3 linked regions of the Oreochromis niloticus genome follow. The protein of the gene in region 2 interacts with the protein of the main gene of each other region in a biochemical or structural test. Links are inferred from orthologs where the notes say so. Each region holds a gene or a part of one and is shown on either strand. Other genes may lie near its edges. The genes, in order: abl1, erbb3b and nck2a.

Region 1 (3,600 bases), on a different chromosome or scaffold from region 2:
GTGCAAGACTATACTTGAGCATACTATAGTTGTGAAATAAAGTGTGTAGATCCCATGGAAATTGGTAGTTTTTAGTTATTATTTTAGGTTTTTGAGGGTATTCTTGCATAATCCATCCACTTTAAACGGCTAAATAATGATGAAATGGGACTTTTCTTGAATAGGTTGCTCCATAACCTCCTTTTCTTCTGTTTTACACATCCTTTGGTGGGTTTGCTAATGTGCTAGGGGTCACTAGCTTGTAAAAATATTTGAGCAGCTGGAACTCTATGATAAAATTCAGAAGTCATAGTTGACTCAGTAGTTGCCCAAACTGCCCAGTCACTGAGACAGTGGAAAACCTAAAGCAAACCCAAACCATAATGTTTCCACCACCATGATTCACAGTATGAGTATGGCTTTGGTATTTGCCACTTCACTGGTACTGTAAACTGTAGTTTTATTCTAATTTTCCTCCTGGACAATAAATGCTTTCCCCTGACACCTCTCATGTAGGTTAGATTTGTATAATATCTTTCTTGCGGTTGTAAGAATCCCTTGCTAACCCTGTGAAGAAAGTTTGTGACTTCTCTCTGCTTTTAGTGTCTTTAAGTTCCCTTAAAGTGAATAATGACAACACACCTGAACACAACAATATATATGTTAGAGATTTAAATTAGGTAAATTCCCATAGATCGTGTAAAATATATATTTATATACAATCATAGGTTCACTCCCTACAGAGATCCTGATAACATGCCACCCCTGATTCTGATAAGTACTTCAAAGTGGGATAAATGTTGAGTTAGATGCTTTAAAACTGAGTAAAGTAACTAAATTTGTGTAATTTATCTGTAAGAAAAGAATCAAGTGTTTTCATAGTTTGATATGCCAAAATGCATATATCCTTAAAACTATTAGGCCTGGGCTAGATCATATTCTTGAGCATTGAGTTCTTTATGGCTTTGATAAAATCCACCATTATATGTGTGGGTGGATGAACCTTTAACCTGTGGACCTTCAGCTTTTCTCCCCTGTGTGAGCGTACTCTCTCTGCCTCAGCGTGGCTGCAGTGTTGTTGCTCTTCCAGCACAACAAAACCTTTGCTCTTGTCCTCCTGTGCTAGTCCACGCACGCACGTGACGTCGTACGTCGCCCCACCCACACACCCAGTAAACCACCTTGCGTATGGAAGTATGGCGGCCCCAGCTACAGAACTACTACTCCGCCAAAGTTTACTGCTGCGATTTTCACGTGAAAGCTATGAATAAGTACGAGAGCCAGGGGTTCGGTAACGAAGAGCTCGGCGACTGTGAACAGAGGAAAGGACTTGTAAAAAGAGTCATCGCTCTCTGCCCCGCTGAGTTGCCTCGATTTGCCTTGATTGAAGTGCCTTTTAGTCCGGGTACCGCAGGGGAAGAAACTCCGCAAGACGAGAAAAGTGGACACGGAAGTTTGAAACCAACTGTGGCTTTGGAAAGACCAGCTGCAAAGTCTTGAAAGGGTGGCGGTCAAATCATGTTTTTGTGAGACGTTTAAGTGCACTTGTCGGCGGTTTCCCTACCAGCGAGCCAGCGACAGCCAACTGTTGCCTGCTTGGTGTGCATTTAAGGGTCTGGCGCTGCATACCACCAGCAGACGTTGGTTAGCTTTCATGGCTATCTCCAACATTAGCATAAGGTCGCCAGCTAACAAGCCACATAAATGTTTCTGTGACCGTGTAAGTTTCTCTAAACACTTGTTTTTACTCCCTACGGCGTTCGTAACTAGAGCAAAAGTTTGCTTTATGTGGCACATTTACTTCAGTGCCTGTTACTGATGATTAAATGATCTTTCTTTTTTTTTTCTTTTTAACTTTGCTATTCCAATAAAATAAGGGCAGTAATGTTATGGCTATCAATACTTGCTACTTTTCTTGCTTTTTCTTTCCGTGACTAGTTTTTAAATCTAACACTTGGCAGTTTTTTTGCATATCTATAATAGAATAAAATAGAATGGCCCTTTATTGTTATTGTACAACTAAATTGTGGGTGCTCCACACCAACTGTGCGGAATAAAATGTAAATGGCAGATAGCAGTAATAAATATGAGTGTAGCTTAACCTAGATTAGAGGTTTTAATGGCTATCTTTTTTATTTAAAGAGCCTTGAGGCAACTGATATTGTGTTTGGCGCTATATAGATAAAACTGAATTAAATAGACGTGCATTAAAAATAGAAAATTTAGCTGAAGTTTAGGCTATATGCAGCAGGGAAAACTAATTTGTATAGAAAAGGAAGCACCTGACATCACAGTTAAAGTGGAACACAATAAAACTAAATGGGCAGTTAAGATTAGCTTGTGGTTTGTTATTTGGCACATAAACTACCAGTCAAATTAGTTCTTGTTTTATTTTGACTTTACGGTCACATATCTTTGTGTTAAATGAAATCATCACTGAATCTTGTTTTATTTGTCTCTAGATCGCTGTGAAATGTCCCGTAAAGCACTCACGCTCCATTAATGCATGATAAACAGAGACATACTGGAGCATCACTGATTTGTGCTGGTGACCTCCATCACCTAAATTCTGGGAGGGGAGTGCCCGAGCCAGGGGAACGGATTCTTTTCTTTTCCCAATCTCCTCTTTTCCTGGTGGGCAACTGAGTCCAGCTTGGAGAGTCCCGGCTGCGGCCTGGCACCCTGCCCTTATGGGGCAGCAGCCGGGGAAGCTTGTAGGGGACCAGAGGAGACCCAGTTTGCCGGCCTTCATCAAGGGCTCGAAGAAGGAATCGTCACGCCATGGGAACCAGCCCTGTAATGTTTTTGCTGTGCACGGTAAGATCAAATATTTTTGTCACTTATTACATTGACAGCAAATGGATTTCCTAAAGTATAATAAATTTGCTCAGTAGGGGAAATTCTTGATTGAAGCTTTTTTTTTTTTTTTGTCACAGGCAGAGTCAAAAATAACAAAGTTTTTTTTTTTTCAGCAAAATAAATCCCACAGTGAAAATGCGCACATTGGAGCAACCACTGTACATATTAGCCAAAGATCGATTATGATCTGACTAATTAATCAATGAAGATGAAAAAAATTGCTGTCCAGCTGCTATATTTATGTTCTTTTGAAATTTTGCACACTTTGTGCACAAGCAGTATATTTTTAAACCTCATTTTTAAGAAAAATGGTGACATGTAGCTTGTATTTGATGGAAATCTATCAGTAAACATTACCAAAGTAACTGTTTTTACCAGGAGATGAGTTTACACTTGACCTTTTACAAGATGTAATTTAGTTTATTAAATGTGTGTTTATTATAATAATATTGACCTCCACAGATGGAAGCAATGTTTTAATGTAATGTCATAATGTTTAATGTATCATTTTGGCATGTCAAGTGTACAGCACTTTGTGTTCAGCTGGGGGCTGATCTGAAAGTGCTATATAAATAAATTGCTTGCTTGCTTGCTTGCATAAAAGTTTTTTGAGCTTCTTGGGCCTTCAAACCTTCAACACAGTCTTTAAAATATTTTTAGCAAATGTGTGCAGTATGCTGAGTGTTTTTCTGACTTTACACTGTCAGACACACGAGATAAACTTTGAATGGCTGCTCATTGTCAACATGTCAAATCTTAACA
Region 2 (8,482 bases):
GTATTTGTTATTGATAATCTGCACCCCTCCCTCCAGAATCTCTGTGAAAACATTAGTGAAACATAACGCAAGCTAGACAGAGAAAACGGTTAACACAGCTTTCAGCAGATATATCAGTATCAAAGGTGAATCAAAATATACACTTAAAAAAACAGTATGAGAATAATTTTTTCATGATAAAAGATGCAGAATTTGGAACAAGGTAAAAGAAATGATCTCTCAGGTCATTTCATTTCAGTTTTATTTATGTAGCACCAGTTCACAATTGTAATGTAAAAAATCAAAATTACAGTTTAACAGATGTGGTGAGAAGTTTATCTCTACTCATCATGGGCCTGAACGTCAAAGTAATTTTGGACTGATTTCTTTTAACTCTTTCTTTTTTTTTCCAGGGTGAAATGATTTTGCACCATACATCTTTAATGTCTTTAAAAAAACAAGAATTACGTGCGCAAGTTTGAATTTATTTGGGGCTTTCTCTAAACCACACAGGGTCCAAAATATACACATACACCCTTTATATTTGGTTAAATGTCCTTTAGTAAGTTGTACCTTGTCAAGATACTTTTGGAAAACCATATTCAAAAAGCTTCTGGGATAATTCTAGCTGGACATTTGACCACTATTTTTAGCAGGTCTGGTAGAGATCATTTAAATTGTCACTGCTTTGGCACCAAGGTCCAGAAGATGACTCAAACTGTCACTTCAATTCTGCCAAGAAGAATTATGCCAGAAACTTGCTGATGGTTACCAAAAGCATCCTGATGAGGTGATTGATAGACAATGTGCTGAAGGACCATCCATCCATCCATCCATCCATCTCTTCCACTTATCTAATTCAGAGTCACAGGGGGGCTGGAGTGCATCCCAGTTGCCACAGGGCAGACACAGGGTACACTCTGGACAGGCTGCTAATCTGACTCAGGGCTAACACAGAGACACAAACAAGCATTCAAACTCACCCCTACAGGTAATTTAGAATCACCAATCAACCTAACCCCACTAACTGCATGTCTTTGGACTGTGGGAGAAAGCCGGAGAGCCATGCAAATACACCAAGAACATTCAAACTCCACACAGAAAGGTCCCGGTCAATTCAAAGGAATCATTTAAAGCCCAGACTTCCCATGACATTCATGCCCATGTTGAGTGGATGTTGAGGGGTAGCAGCAGTGCTGTAAGACTGTTAAAATGCTGTAGATTGAGATGAGTGATGTTTAAGATTATATAGGAATAAAAGTCAAAAACCAAATACGAAATTAGGTTCATGTTTTGTGTAATATTAGGTTGAATCAAGTTTGAATAAAGAGAGCACTTGAGGAACAGAGTAAGTTAGAGCCGTAGTAGGGAGAAGGTGTTTTCTATCCTTTACAGGAGAAGATTTCCACAAGAGAAGGACCCAGAAAAGGGACAGACCACTAGAGATTCACAAGTGTAAGGGGTCTCTCACCGGGTATGATTGGGTTCAGGGGTGAGGGAGGAGTGCTGATTGAGCTCTGCTCGCACTCTTATTCTCTCCTGCCCCTGATCAACTTTAGGCTCACTGATACTTTGGTGTGATTAACCTCAAGCATGAGTGTTCTCAAGTGGGAGCGGGCATTTTATTATTAAGACCACCTAGATGACATGGGGTTGTCTGGTTTGCTAAGTCACAGGATGCCAAGAGAGGGTCAGTGATCCTAAAGTCCACGACGTCAGGGGTGGACAGGGAAGCAGCTGAATGGGACAAGGAGTGATGCACCTGAAAGTATGGTGACCTCTGGTCAGCCAGAGGTCAAAAGGGGGAATGAGGGGTCCGACAAAATGCTTTTGCCATTATGTAATCTGTAGCTTCCACATAGTATGCTGATCAGTGTAATTTTCAATGATCAAACTGTAATAGAGACGAGCAAACATATTGGCAGAGCTGAGAAGGAGAAGCCTGTGTTATGAAAATGATTTTAATCTTTTATACATGATTGCATTTGAGCATATTAAAGAGCTGTGGCTCCTGGTCACGTGAAGGTCAGAAGTGTAACGGGTGAGATGTGAGAGCATTTAAGGGCGAGACACACATACAGACACAAATAGTGAGAGGTCATGACACGTACACAGTACACAGCACGCACGCGCCCCCGCACGTGCACACATACACACCATAATAGATCTATTTTGGTAGGGCAGAAGTGAAGATGTATTTTTGCTGCAAATGCAGAATTGTGCCGACGTACTTAGAGGAAGTGCAACAGATGTCCCAGGAGATAAGCGACAGCGAAGACGAGCTGAGGGGAAGCACCGACCCGAAGACAATGTACTTTAAACTATGTTAAAGTTCACGGAACATTTTGTGGTTTAGGCTGACGTATGCTGTATTAAATCTGCCTACCAACAGAAAAGGGGGCTGTACTATCTTAACCCTATAAAACTGTTGTCTGAATATGGTAAAGACAGTTCAATACTGATTGGGTTGTTGAACTCACACATGTGTTTATTAAAATACTGTCTAATTGCACACTGGACCGGATCTGTGGTTATTTATGGATTCCTCTCTCAACAATGAACCTTAACAATGTAAACTTCTGACCACAGCTGTATTTGATGGCAGGGACTTCCAGTAGGACCAGGCTTGATCTGAGATGTTGAGTTTAATTGCTCCATTTTATGTAATGCACCACTCCCCACTGTTACAAACGCCTTGGGTTTCAGAAAGCATTTTCTTTTACAGAACAAACATTGAACGTTTTCTTTCTCTAATATCTGTTTTTCTGTTGTTCTTCTAACCCGTCAGGTTTGCGAGTCCCAGCTGTTGTAGGCCGTTGGAGCCGTCCTTGGGGTAGTTGAGGAAGATCGATAGAGCAAAACGTCTTTCATACAGGCTGTTTCCTCTGATGACGCGCAGTTGGCCCAGAGGAATCTCTTGAAAGTGGTTCATAGCAATGAGGACATAGCCAGTCACCTCACGGATTCTCTAGAGTGAAGAAGACCATTAATATAAGAGGCAATATAAGAGGCTACTTCTACAATATACTCTCCACTTTTTAACGCTTTTTTTCAAATTTACCGACTGGAGGCCTGGAGAGTAAGGAAACATGACATTTACCTTGAGGAAGGAGAAGTCCCAGTTACTCTCAATCTGTGTGATCTCCAGGTTTCCCATTACAATCTCACAGCCATAATACCGGTTTCTAATCAGATTGTACTGGTTCTCCTGAGAGCCCGTGGAACTGAGTCCATTCTGCGTCCCTGGACACACTTCTAACACAGATAGGGAATAAAGATGAAAATGAACGTAAATAACACTGGGAAACTGAGTACTGTGGGCTGTGTTGTGTCTGTGGTATTTATAGGGTTGGTGACTCTCCCTGATGCTGTGTTCATGCCTGTGCTGGCTACAGATTTTGATGTGAAGCAGAGAGAAACAGGCAGGCTGTTACCCGCTTACATGGAGCAGTACAGGCCTGGGGCTGATGAAGAGGAGGCCAGGGGGGTCAGAAGAGAGAGTGACTTTTTTTTTCTTTTTTTTCCCCCTCAGACAAAGTGCTTCATTGTTGTAAAGCTATAAATGTGGACAGTGTGTCTCAGTGAGTGATGAGTGCTGCAGTGACAGACAGTGCTTCTGTGTATGCGTGTGCATGTGCGTCTGCAAGCCACGCATTGCTGAGATCATACCAAAAGACAATGGGCCGTGTGTGAATGGGACTCTCTGGCAGAGGGAAGGGAAATATCGTGAACGGAAGGTGACATACACACCATCTCTGAGTGCCCAGCAAGAAAACTGAGGAACTGGTCCTTTAATGTGCAAACGTTAGCCACCTGCAGCACTCACTCAACACAAGTCACATCTCTTGTCTTCGTTATGAACACATAACACACAGCTATAGGCCCCTGAAGACTGCTGCATAATAACAATGGAAAGTTACATGCTGACAAAGGACTGTTGCCTAATGCACACTTATATTCATACATGGCTCTTTTAAGCAAACACTGGCCCTGAATCATTCAGCTAATCTGGGAGGACTCAATAATATTCAACTCATACTTAGGATACTCAAAAACAGGCATTAGTACTTAAATTATTTGTTAATGTTTTGTATTTATAAAAACATTCATAAAACATTCATGAAAGGGCTCAGTGATCGGAAATTAGTAAATAAACAAAAGGTCCTGACAGGAAAGAAAAACAGTGTGATTGTTTGACAGCTATCTCAAAGGGAGATCTGAATGTTAGCAAAGACACATTAATGTCGTTGTAACTGCAGATAACCACATTAAATTTTATTAGAAAGAATTTAGTGACAGCGTGACAATCAGTTAATGGTAAATAGAGGTTCTTAAAGTGAATCTTTGCTGTTCTCTGCAGATTTTTACAGTGCAGTGCAAGGGCCTGGATAAGACCCTAATCATAACAATAAAAAAGCTTTTAAGGAAGAGTGGTGAGCTGTGAAGCAAACAATGGCATGGTGAGGTTTATCACTTTATACTACGAAAGCTTTAAGTGCATACAGTTAATTCTATTCTATTGCTAGAATTTGTCTGGTAATTGAGGTATTATCTAAATTTCACGAGATTCAAACTTAATGAAGACAGGATTTCAGATGTAGAATCACGTATATCCTCACCTTCATGCGTTTGAGATGATGTTCGAAGTCTCCAAGACAAAATCACTCCCAGTAAAATGACTCGCCACTGCTCCATGCTGATGTCCAGCCTGTTCACGGAGATCTATGCATATCACAGGGGTTTAGGTAGTCCTCCGAAGAGCCAATATGTATTGCAGGGAAAACTTTGACTAAAGAATATACAGTAGGGGGTGTAAAAGTTAAGAGTTAAGTCTCTATGAAAGGGAAAATCCGATCAAATCATGAGTCAAAGTGAAGGACAAGTGCAACTCCTTCAAAACACCTAATAAGACCGCAAACATCCCTCAGACTACTTGAAAAACTGAGAACAAGTTGTAGTTTATTGTGATGAGGGAATTTCCCTCCCAGATGGGGACGTGTGATTGGCCGATATCCCGACCAATCAGTGGTTTGTCCGTCATTTCGAGCTGAAGCCTCGGTTGTTACGCTAAAGCAAAGAATTTTGCTAAATTTATGAAGCCCTCGAGAAACGACTGACATAATACTGCTGACAGAAAGCTTAAAAAATTACAAACACGCGTGGCTAAAACACTATAATAACAAAAAAGCTAAATGACACACGAGTCACTGAGACAGACTCGGTTGACTAACAAGGACAGGTCGTTCAGTGTAGCATTTAACTGATTTTGGATGTGAATCTTTGCCGTGTGCAGCAGTGTGAACACCAGTTATTTTTGTTTCATGCTGTCAGCAGTGGAAGCAGCGTTTCGGTCCCCCCACCCAGTAAGAGCCCAGCGCTCTGAGTGGCCGCACTGTTTCCCCCCGTAAAGAGCAGTATTGTCCCCGCAGCCCTGTCAACTGGTTAATCACCTCTTTGATGCGTATGGAGCAGCCTGCCACAATGGCCACATTGTCAGACAGTCAAGTGACTTCTGAACCCAAAACAAGAACATGCTTAATTTGAGAAAATGGCCTCGGAGCAGACAAGATTCCTGAACACGGAGCTGCGGGTGAAAACGGGCCACTAATGGATGGAAATCATTAACCGCTTCTGACAGATGTACTGTTAATCTTATTTTTGAATGCGGCAGGGAGGGGAGAGCCGAACAATCCACAGTTTGTTTGCAAGCATCCATGTGCAGGAAATGGGAAGAATGGTGAGATTGAGATGAACTTGGATTTTAATGTTCGTCTCAACAACCTGATGGTAAAAGACGCCAAGAAATAACACCACAGCGCGGTTTATGTGTACAGTAATTAATGTCTTTGTTGTTCATCTGCCTGGACTTTAAAGCAGGAGTCTCAAATGCCCTACTCCAGCCTCTTTTTCTGTCCAGCAGGAGGAGCCAGAGTCTGACACTTAGGCGTCCTATTTCACAGCTGCTGCAGGGCCCTGTGGTGGGTAGACTCAGCGTTTGCACATGGATGGCTATTTTTACACTGTTTATTGGACATTTGATCCAATCTCTAATTTCTTATAATAAAATAATCAGCCTTTAATCCAGTCAGTCACTGAATAGTGGAAAACTTTGTGGGGAAAAAAACACCATTGCCCCAAAAATGTTGGAAGAAATCTTGAAGACTGAGTCAGTTGTTTTGTTTCATAAACAGCAGTCAGTGTGAAACTTTCCTGTTGCTGAGTAAAACGGTGAAAAGTGTAAGATTGTCACCAGATGCACTTTTTTTGTGCGTGTGTTCATTTTTCACATGAGAGTTTCTCTGTTTGTCCCGTCAAGATAGCTTTGATAGCAGCCTATAGTATTTACAGAGCTTGGCACTTTCACAACGCCACCATGGTGTCAAGTCTCTGTGTCAGCCCTGGTGGCCCTGTCCCTTCCAAGGGGAACTGTGAGGGGTGCCTGCTGTGGCCTTTTGGAGTTGCCACTCCCTTCAGAGATTGATGAATTGATTGTGGGGCTGCTGCCAGTGTGTCTGTGCCCTGGGCGAAGGTGTCCCGGTTACGAGTGGGAATCCCAGCTATGGCATCCGCCCTGGGGCCACTATTGTAGCGGTCCTGCAGGGGGCCAAGGGGGCTGGTGGCCCCGGGAGCAGCTCCGACTCACATACTGCTGTCACACCCTTGGAGACACAGCAGCACTCTCCCCTACATGGACCTCTGATTGGCTCAGACAAAATGACTCTCTGTGAAGTGCAGCAATTCCACAGGCAAACTACCTGATTGTGCCAAACTTCTCTTGATAACAGCAGTTAATAAAGGACAAAAGAAAGGCTGTGTAGAGCCAAATCCCACAGTTGTGTAATATGTGCTGTTAGTCTGATTTTAGTCTTAGCTGATGACTGGTACGGTAAACAGTTTACTGAGTTAAAACTGTTCTCGATCAACTCCCACTTCATTAAAAAAAACCCAGTCTAACTCACATTTAGATTTTTGACCTTTATTGTGCAGAGTGATACATGCGTCATAAGGGACGTCAAAGCTGTTTCCTATTAATCTGCTGAAAAGAACGTCCTTCTGGACTCACCTTAAATCAAAGTTCAACATGTGTAGGCATAAGAGGATATTGTGACATCACAACCAGTTTGGAGGCCAGATGTGGCCGCAACTTAAAACCTCCGGTGCACACATGAAATCAATTGAACATATATGTGTTGAGGCAACAGTTAAGAGTTTTTAAATATTTTACTGTTTATTATGGATTCATCAATGAAGGAGAAGTACAGTAAGGTCAATAATGTGTTGTGCAAAGACAGAGTTTTTGTAGTGTTGCCTCTGTACACCGCCACAGCAGATTTTAAATCAAACAGTCATGATGTGACTGACATGCACACACGCCTGCTCTTAAAGTGTGGTCTTGATCTGGTTAGATGCTGTGAAGCCGTTTTTCTTAACCATGGAAATAATTCTGTCATCATGCACTCCATTTGTCTTCGCTGGTCTTCCAGGCCTGTTGGGAGCTGCTGACTTGATCACTGCATTTATACTTCTTAAGAATGTTGCTTCAGCCATTCCTAATTATTTCATTATTGCTCTTATTTATTTGGGTTTTTCAAGCTAACTTGTCTCCCTCACTTGAAATGACATCTCTTATGAGCCTCATGTTTTAAAAATAACAATAAAAACTATAAAATAAAAATTCTACACTTTGAATCAACCTCAGACATTGTGTGTTTAATTTGTCCTTTGACTCAAAAATGACTGTACAGAAGCAAAACTACAAAAACAGTGTCTCTGTCCAACAAATTGAGGACCAAACTGTTTCAAGAAACCTAGCAGGGATCTTAAAAGGACACATCACCTCCAAATCAAATACAGTAGTTTGTGTGAGAACTGCCTTCGTTCTACCACACTGCACTCACCACCCACATCAAACATAGTGTTTTGGTGCTTTGAGCACCACAAGTATACTCTGTAGCTTCCTTTTATTCAAGCAGACAAACATCTTCAAAACTGGGCAACTTATCCAAGAACAATGATTGACAAATAATGACTCGCACATTTGATTCTGGGGCGAACTGTCAACTTGAAATTGAGTTTGAGCCACAGACAAGAGAAGATAAAGACAGCACGCTCGTAATCGTGCTGGGGTTTTCAAACCAACACGTGCGACGATAAACGATAGCAAGGAAAAAAATGAGCAAGGCAAAGCAAATGTATACTCTGGTCTTTTTATTTATTGATGTAGTCTCAGGAATAATTAAATCATTCAACACTTTTGCACCTGCTTAGGTTTTTCTGATTTTCTGTCTTAAATTTCCCCCTCTTCATATTATACTCTGTTTCTCTCTGAGAGCAAATCGCCAGCTGGAATGTCGTGCAGCCTCATTTAATATTTTTCTTTATTTGAAAGTTAAAATCTGAAAATAGTCACTGAAAGAGGGAGGGATGTTTAGCCACATCGGAACTGCTAGTGCATCGGTGTCACAGATCATAGGTGAGATACTTGAATGCTGGATATTTCTTA
Region 3 (8,482 bases), on a different chromosome or scaffold from region 2:
ATGTATTTGATTTGGCAGATTTTTATGCTGGATGCCCTTCCCGATGAAACCCCCAAGGGATTTGTGTCTCCCCCCGGCATCAAATCAGGGATCTTTTGCTTGTTAGGCAAATGTGCAAATCACTACACTGTGAAAAATCATGTTAAAAAAAAAAAAATCATTGCACAGAATAAGCAACACCTTGGACCAGATGTAGCACACTAGGATAAGGAAGGGGAAATTCTTATGATGATCACTTTATACACTAACAATATCTGTGCATAACTTATCTTTCCATTTGTCTATATTTGTTAAAATAAACCACAGTGCGCTAAAGTGACCGACTGACACTTCCATCCCAGAGCCATGTTTATCATAACATTAAAAAAAAAAAAGAAAAGAAAAAAAAAAAAACATTGATGGGCTGGAGTGACGTGGTTTGAAGGAAATAACACCAACTTTAAAAACAAACAAAACCCAAATGAAGAAAGATTATATTTAACCAACAAGACCACACACACACACACACACACGGTAACCTTCCTGAGCCAGTTTAAACAGCAGCATGAATCAACTTTCTTCTCTTACATTACAGAGTCACAGAAAGGGGGCCCACTGTCATAACTGCATGTACTGTCAGTTTAATGGATAACTATTCCCCAGATTACAGATGATTACAATGACAATGAGATGGCCTTCATCTTGCTTCCATCATGATTCTCTTCAGAAGCATTGCTCAGTGTCTTCTTGCAGCATTTATTAATTCTTTCTTCATTCCTACTAAGCCTTTTCCCTGAGGGACATGAAATGTTATGCTTTCCACGTGAAAAAAATAAATAAATCCTTTTCCATGGACGTTTCCCCCCTGCTGTAGGCTCCTGAAAATATTGCTGGAAATAAATTTCTATTATTTTGTTTGGGAGGTCTACACAAAAACCTACGTTTTACACTTTCTTCACATCGTTCTAGACAATGTGAAGAAAGTGTAAATAAAATTACCCTCACTCTCCAAGAGACAGCCCATGTAATATAGGTCATAAAATAAAAGAGGATGACGCAATAGGCTTTAAAACCCTTTTCTCACAGCAGGCATAAAAATAAAGATATATTTCGCCTGCACTTGAAATCTTAAATCATTTAACTACCACTTATGTTATTAGACTATAAATGATTCATTGCTACATTACAGACAATTTAAGATCGCATATGATCGACTCAGCGCCTTCTTCACATTTAAAAAAAGAGAGAGAGAGAGAAAAAAAAGACCACTTCAAGTACAAATCACATAAATCAGCAAAATAAGAAAGAAGCAAAGCATCACTTGCTCGGAACAAAGTCATTTTCCACTGGCTTCCACTCAAAACAACAGAGGAAAAAAATATTGTGCGGGCACAGCGCGGCAGTATGCAAGGGATATTTTTTTTTTTTTTTTTTTTTTTTTTTCTTTAAGGCCCATTAGGCATACACAAGAAAGACGAGCAGAGTAATTAGTTGCAGCTCATAAAAGTGCAATCAAATACACAGAAGAAAGAGGATTTGGATTACTCTCTCATCTGTAAGAAGAAAAAAAATGCAGCTCAAATGACAAACGTGCACATGTTCCAAGTTTGATAGGGGAAGTTAAGACAAAAAATAGCAATTTGTCACTAAATGCGAGGGCGATCTACACGCTCGTATTTATATCAACGTCACATATACTAAGAAATATTCATATTACATTATTTTCTCTAAATCGGCACCAAATGTTTATGCAATCATCTGACGTCCAGAGTATTCTGTTCAACATTTGCTACGAGCTGCCTTCATATCAACTTAAAGTGACAAAGCTCATGCAAGGTGGAAACAAACAAAGTCATATATTAACACCAGTGTTTGTTCTTTCTATCAGATTGGATATGAGGTTAATCATTACCTGTTGTCCAGGCTGCTTCATTCACTTAGGCACATTATGGTAGGAAAAACCATGCATGTTTTAATATCCAAATGCTGAATCACACACTGGTTAAAAAAAAAAAAAAAAAATAGCTTCAGTTCATCTCCAGCATTTAACACTTGGCAGACTATTAAAGGGGAAGTTCCCACAGATTGACTCTTAAAATTTTTGACTTTATTAATTGATGATGGCTGCCTGAACGCACCATTGGTTTCAGTCTCCGCAGCACATGGAGGCAATTTAATGTGTGTCATTTTGAAAAGGGCTCTTCTATAAGTCCAGCTTATAATGAAACATGTCAATTATAAATTCTTGAAAGGAGAGGTAATGAAAGACTCCTTTAAATGATGCAATTGGAGCAACCAGCAGTTAGAAAAAGCCCCAAATAATTGGTTTACAAAGATTTTAAAGAGGGAAAAAAGCAGCATCTGCAAAATTGACTTAATCAGCTTTAGATTAAAATGACAAAATTGCTTAACATGTGCACACACTTGGTAATCAATGATTCCTTCAAAATGTACCTACAAAATATGCCTTAGATCAAAACCTCATTTAAAAACATACATGCAACAGGATACAGCAGGTTTGCAACAATTATCTGACTCACTTCTACATTACTTTCTCAGTTATAACTGTTTATAAGTCGTAAAATAAAATTCTAAAAAAAGGCACGGCGTGAGTTATTTTAATACCGCTTTTTTTGATTGCCAATCAAAAATGCAATAATATTCAGCTTACAATCATAGAGGATCAAGAAATGCAGCAAATATTCACTGAGAGGTGGAATCAGACCCAAATTACCCGATCACCGTAATTCCCATAACTAATAGTTTCAGGTCAAATTTAGGGTTTAACTGAACCACCACATAATCTACAACACTCATACTAAATGTTACTTGAGTGTGAAGTCAGCCCGAAAAGCTCACATTTCCACTGAGTACATGCAGTTACTGCACTTCTCGGTATCATTAGCAGTCTTTCTAGTTTTAGTTTCTGATATGCTGGAAATGCAAAGCACTGAAACTCGCGTTCTCTCTTTGCTTTGTGATGTAATGGACGTTTATGCAATTCACACTTTATCGCTCCATTATTGCACATGCCTACACGGCATACCTGTCACTTCTGAGTGAACCTTGTCCTAGACTCAGAGCTAACATGGTGCTCTTGTCAGAGGGTGTGTCGGCAGAATAGGTGTGCCACGCAAGTGTACCTGCATGTTGAAAAAAAGAAAAAAGAGAAACTGTGCTTTCTTATAACCTCAGTCCTTGCATTTGCATGCAAGTGCAAATTTCCCCCCGTCTTCTAGAATAAAAGGGACTTTAGTTATGGACAATAACTGCCACAGCAAGACAGACAATGCATGCTATTCTCTGCTGCTATTGATGAGGAGGACGCACGGTGTAGTTACCATGAAAAGCCACTAGACATTCAACATTGACAATCTCGGCATGTGGCACCAGTCGCCAGTCTATGGTGTTTTGGCAAATGTGGTTCATTGTGTAAGCCACTGCGTTTTTAAACAGGCCTGCTGACAAACGCAGTGCATTGTAAATGTAAAAAAAATAACATGAATTTATGTGTGGATTTCTATTAATTTGAGATATAAATGCGAGAAATTACTCAAACAAGAGCAGCTGCCTGAGAAAACAGTCTAAAGGACCTGCCTGAGGATTGCTTGAGTAGCTTGCGCTTACAGGCCTTTAAGAAGTGGCCCCGCACAAAAATTGCTAAATGGTAAAGTTGATAAATTGAAAACCATTTAGTCTGGCTCTAAAAATGAAAAAAGAAAAATATCACTGTTTGTGTGGCTAGTTAACAGCAACCACTCAAACGCAAGGAAAAACCGAGGCTGTAGCACACAGCGTCCAGTGAAACCACCTCTGAGTGGACAAAGACCCAGCGTCAAACCTACAAAGTGGCACGAGCAAGCTGCCGTTTTTCTTTACCCCAACTTTTACTTCAGCTTGTAATGACATTTTTCGCGGGCAAATTTAACTAAAAACGGTTGTTTAAGCAGCACTGAAATGGCCAAAGCGACCGGTCCAAGTGCACCAACTTAACACAGTTCATTTGCGGTTACAAGGCTTACCTTAGTGTTCACTCCAGTGAGAATGGGCAAACAGCGACACGCTCAACAACAAACCCCGAACCAGAACCCGCCAATCAAATTGTAAGTTAGGGAGCCCGCGCGAAAGCCGCAAAGATAACCCCCTACATCCACATATCCACGGGTTTCTCTATTTTTTCTTTCTTTTAAAACAAGAATCGAGCATGAAGTGTCCGACCTATTATCGCTTGTTTTTTCCGTCGCAGGCTGACTGCCTCCACCTCAATCACTCGTTTCAAGCTTGGTCTATGGGGCTGCCAACTTCCGCTCTTTGCTTTCAAAATAAATTCTTCTGGGCGTACAGACGTTGCAGTCAAACGAGCTGAATTTGAAATCCGGAGGAAATGGTGATAGAAGTTTAACTTCCAGGTGGGAAAAATAGATTTTTAATAAATGTGTTTAGATTTTTAAAGTTTTTAAGTTTTTAAGTCAGATATGTCTTGTGTTTCGGTTTATGCCTTTTTTTTTTTAAAATCTCCAAGTAACCAGTATTTTATTTAATAAGTTAATTCAGATGATTCGTCAAAATATCTGCCCTTAAAGGTGTCTAGAAGCTTCACAAAGACTTGTTTCCAGAAGGATTCTGGGTCTTCTCCTTCATCTGACTGCTCCTTTTAGGGGGTCACCACATCAGATGCTCTGGCTCCATCTCACCCTATTCCTGACATCCTCCTCTGTCACACAACCAACTTCATTACATCCACGAATCTTCTCTGTCATCATCCTCTTTTCCCCCTGCCTGGCAGCTTCATATCCAATATCCTTTGTTCAACCTACGACCTATCTCCCTCTCCAAATGTCCAAACTCTCTCTAATTCTATCTCCAAACTTACCTGGTCACTCACAATGAAAAATTTAGCATCTTCAACTCCCTGTCCTTTTTGTTCATCTCCAAACCCCACATAACAGCAGGTCTCACTACCCTCCCAAGGTGGCTGTGGCTAGGTGTGAAAAGAAATGTTAAGCAGGATGCAAACAGAGATTATGAATTTAAAAATATTTTATTTTCTATTTTAATTTTTATTCAGTTTTCTGTTATTCATGTTTGCGCCTACAATTTTCAATGAAATTTTGCTTCTGTGTTATCCAAGTGATCTAAGACGACTAATGCTTTTATTTCGAAGACACCTTCTTTGATTTCCGGTTTGATTTCGTTGAGTGCGCTCAGCTTGATCGCCGGTCCCCTTGGTGACGTCACCCACACCGGGACTCGTACAGGACAACGCCGAGAGAAAGGGAGAAAATGTGAGGTACTGTGTCGCCCCTTGGCGACCACACTGGGAAAACGGATGTATTTTATTTTATTTTTACATGCAAAGTGGTTTTTTTTTTCAATAGCCTGCAAGTGATTATCTTGAGTAAACTCATAAACAAAAACTTAGTATTGATGAGTTCATCAAAAAGTCCCTGCTCGCCCGTCAACTATGTAATTAATCATACCAAAGTATTCGTCGTATATTACACAGTAAACTCCATTGTTCACACACTAAATTTAGACTTTGTGCGGTTGTTTTCTCATCTGTGTGTTCCTTCTCACGGTTTTCATCACTCAGATGGTGTGCTATTTACAGAAATAAATCATCCTACACACTTGAAACTGTTAAAAATAACACGAGGCGGAAAAGACGTTGCATTTAGCTCATGTTAGAGTGAAAAAAAGAGTTAAAAACAGTCAAACACCTTGACACGCTAGAGGTTCAATGAGCAGGTCTGATATTTACCAGTACTAAGGTTTAGTAATCAAAGAGCAATCAGATTAAAAGCAATCAGAGCAAAATCCCCCCCGTTGTATTTTATGTTTGTTAGACACACCTAACATACAGTATATGATCTCATGAGTACTGACAAGGCCGCATTTTCATGAATAAACCTTGAGCACGAGTAACCGGTTGCATAATAACAGGTTGGTTTTTACATCCAATCAAAACAAGTCAGTCCTAAGATGGTAATAAAAGAAAGCTGCACTGAGTCGATGCCGATCTGATTTAGGAATGGAGTCCCTACTGAAGTGTCCAAAGTGTCCCGTTTTTCCTTGCTCAGTATCCCACGGTGATTTGCTTTTATGGGCACCATTCGAAATCAAATAATGTTCTAGATCTAATTTTGAGAAATTAGAGCCGTGGCAAAAGGCCAGAATTTAGTCAATATCTCTAAAGACTTTTTCTCAACTATATATTACATGTCAGTTTTATGACAGTTTGTCTGTCATGTAAGAAAAAAATAAAATAATATCGCTGTTTTGAATGCTGTAAAAGTGCAGTCTCACATTAAGACTACATCCTGTGTCTCTGACTACTACACATTTGTAATTTATGACTGGATTTGGATCCTACTCAACACACAGTTTTCATAGCCAAAACCTTCTGTTCCCACTAATCTCTTATGTGCAATATCCATCTGTTTTAACAGTTCAGTTGGCCCAAATCCACCGATGCTGATTCATTTATGCGTACCGTGTTACACTGCGCCTTCACACGTCCCTATTCATTCCTGCAATGTAAAGCAAAGCAGTTACCTGTAAACGCCCTTTGACACTCAACTCAGCAGGCCTGAGCGACACTTTTTTGTCTTTATTTCAAAGTGTGCAGTGAGAGTGAAAATAACACTGCACGTGTATAGAGAGGCTCTTGTAGCATTGGATTTGCTGTCACAAGGGGGCAGAACATCCTTGGAAGAAATGCATATCCATTACTGGTATGCCAAAAGCTTTAATGTGCCCTAAATGCTGCAGCAGGTCAGATGTAGTGCACCAAAAGTATCAGGATGTCTGCCTGCATTGTTCCCCTTCTGCAACACAAAAGCTAAAATGCTTTTTGTCCCTTCTAATCCACCAAACTCTGCACCACCAATACAAAGTCGCAGTATCACGACTCAGTGTGTCCCATTTGCATGCATATTGTAAGAAACAGTGCTAAAAAGATAAAGTATGTGACCTGGATCACGGGCGCTGTCCCCGTAATCATGTGCGAATGCCTAACATACCAACCTTCATCACCATAGCGTCAGGATTTGACAAATAAATGACCATCTGCTGACCTTTTCACCCACACTCCACTCCTCCACCCCTCACCCCAACCACCCTGTCTTATTCATCATACACAATTTTGTTTTCTACCTCAACAAACTAATTTAATTAGAGGACAGTTGGATGAATAACTGTAAGCACGTGCTTATTTTTAACCATCCACGTTAAAAGTTAAATCCGTTTTAATGCTGCGGACTCACGGGTAATTGGAAAGAGCTGATGTGCGTGTTCACACTGCTACACTTGGTATTATTAGATTTCCCGATTGGATATCATTCAGCATAAAGTTCATTATATAACTTTCAAAAACAACATTACATGTCTAAGGGGGGAGGAGGCGGTGTTTAATGTTGCTGAAGAAGTGCAAAATTATTGGAATGGTTTGTCTTTCATACCCCACTCCTCCTAATCCCGAGGCAAACTTGATTTATTAATCGAGACTGAGTCACACATGTCACCACTCTATCTGCTGCTGCTATAACCAGGATGTCTTCCATTTTAGAGCCACGCCCCTCATATTGTCACCAGTGACACTGTATCGTCGACTGGTGAGGGGCCTGCAGCTGAGCGGAGCTATAGTTACCATGCTGATGAAACTGGATGTTTATTTTGGCAGAAAGGCACCCCGTGTTTAAGTATATCTGACCGGAGGTGGTGATGTACGTGATGAACCAGCGGCTCCTGTGCTATGTTTGCAATTCACTGACCTCAAGGCCAAGTGAGACTTTTAGCCTTCTGAAACATAGATTACGTATGATGGAAATGAGCATCTTTGATCCTTCAAAGAGAGGATGTATTCATCAAAATGCAGAAATGTATTATCTTGGTGTCACAGATGTAGATATGGTGCTTTCCCCCCGCTGTTAAAACATCCACTTTGGAAAAGGCTGGTTTGAAGAGGGTATGAGAGTTGGTTAGTGGTTTGTAGAGACAGAGTTACAGAGAGTTAATGGGTGGATATTAAAATTAGCTCTCACATGTGTTTCTGGAATAAAAAGCAGAATCAGAATAGTTTAATAATCCTCTATGGTTGCAAAACCAGCCCTATTCATCACCACTCTACCACCGTGCTTAACAGCGTTGTATGAGGTGTTTGTGCTGATATGCTGTGTTTGGGTTTTCTCTAAATGCAGTGCTATGCAATATAGCCAAATAGTTCCACTCTGGTCTCATGTATCCCAAGGACACTGTTCCAGAAGTCTTGTGGTTTATTCAGGTGCAACTTTGCAAACCTAAGCCGCGCTGCCATGTTCTTTTTAAAGAGAAAAGAGGCTTCCATCCAGAATAGTCATACAGTACTTGTTGAATGTGTTTCTAATTGCACTGTCATGAACTTTAACATTTAGCATGCTAACAGAGTCAGAGATGTAGCTCTTGAGTTAATTGCAGTTTCTCTGAGCACTGCACAATCTGACCTTGAGGTGAATTTGTTGGGACG

What was found.
Region 1: the proteins of erbb3b (region 2) and abl1 form a complex in vitro, tested with the Homo sapiens proteins (2 studies listed by BioGRID and IntAct, with this or other methods). The link is inferred for Oreochromis niloticus from reciprocal best matches to the Homo sapiens genes ERBB3 and ABL1.
Region 3: the proteins of erbb3b (region 2) and nck2a form a complex in vitro, tested with the Homo sapiens proteins (2 studies listed by BioGRID and IntAct, with this or other methods). The link is inferred for Oreochromis niloticus from reciprocal best matches to the Homo sapiens genes ERBB3 and NCK2.

Annotation. Positions count from the first base shown.
Region 1 is NC_031972.2:21,282,640-21,286,239, reverse strand, and holds the start of abl1 (tyrosine-protein kinase ABL1), read left to right. Parts: upstream 1-1,125; 5' UTR 1,126-1,699; intron 1,700-2,441; 5' UTR 2,442-2,669; coding exon 2,670-2,796; intron 2,797-3,600. UniProt on the Homo sapiens protein: Non-receptor tyrosine-protein kinase that plays a role in many key processes linked to cell growth and survival such as cytoskeleton remodeling in response to extracellular stimuli, cell motility and adhesion, receptor endocytosis, autophagy, DNA damage response and apoptosis.
Region 2 is NC_031984.2:19,601,815-19,610,296, forward strand, and holds the start of erbb3b (receptor tyrosine-protein kinase erbB-3b), read right to left. Parts: upstream 5,210-8,482; 5' UTR 4,675-5,209; coding exon 4,599-4,674; intron 3,235-4,598; coding exon 3,080-3,234; intron 2,948-3,079; coding exon 2,761-2,947; intron 42-2,760; coding exon 1-41. UniProt on the Homo sapiens protein: Tyrosine-protein kinase that plays an essential role as cell surface receptor for neuregulins.
Region 3 is NC_031987.2:20,986,528-20,995,009, reverse strand, and holds the start of nck2a (cytoplasmic protein NCK2a), read right to left. Parts: upstream 4,317-8,482; 5' UTR 4,198-4,316; exon of another isoform or gene 4,002-4,197; intron 1,978-4,001; exon of another isoform or gene 1,892-1,977; intron 1-1,891. UniProt on the Homo sapiens protein: Adapter protein which associates with tyrosine-phosphorylated growth factor receptors or their cellular substrates. Maintains low levels of EIF2S1 phosphorylation by promoting its dephosphorylation by PP1.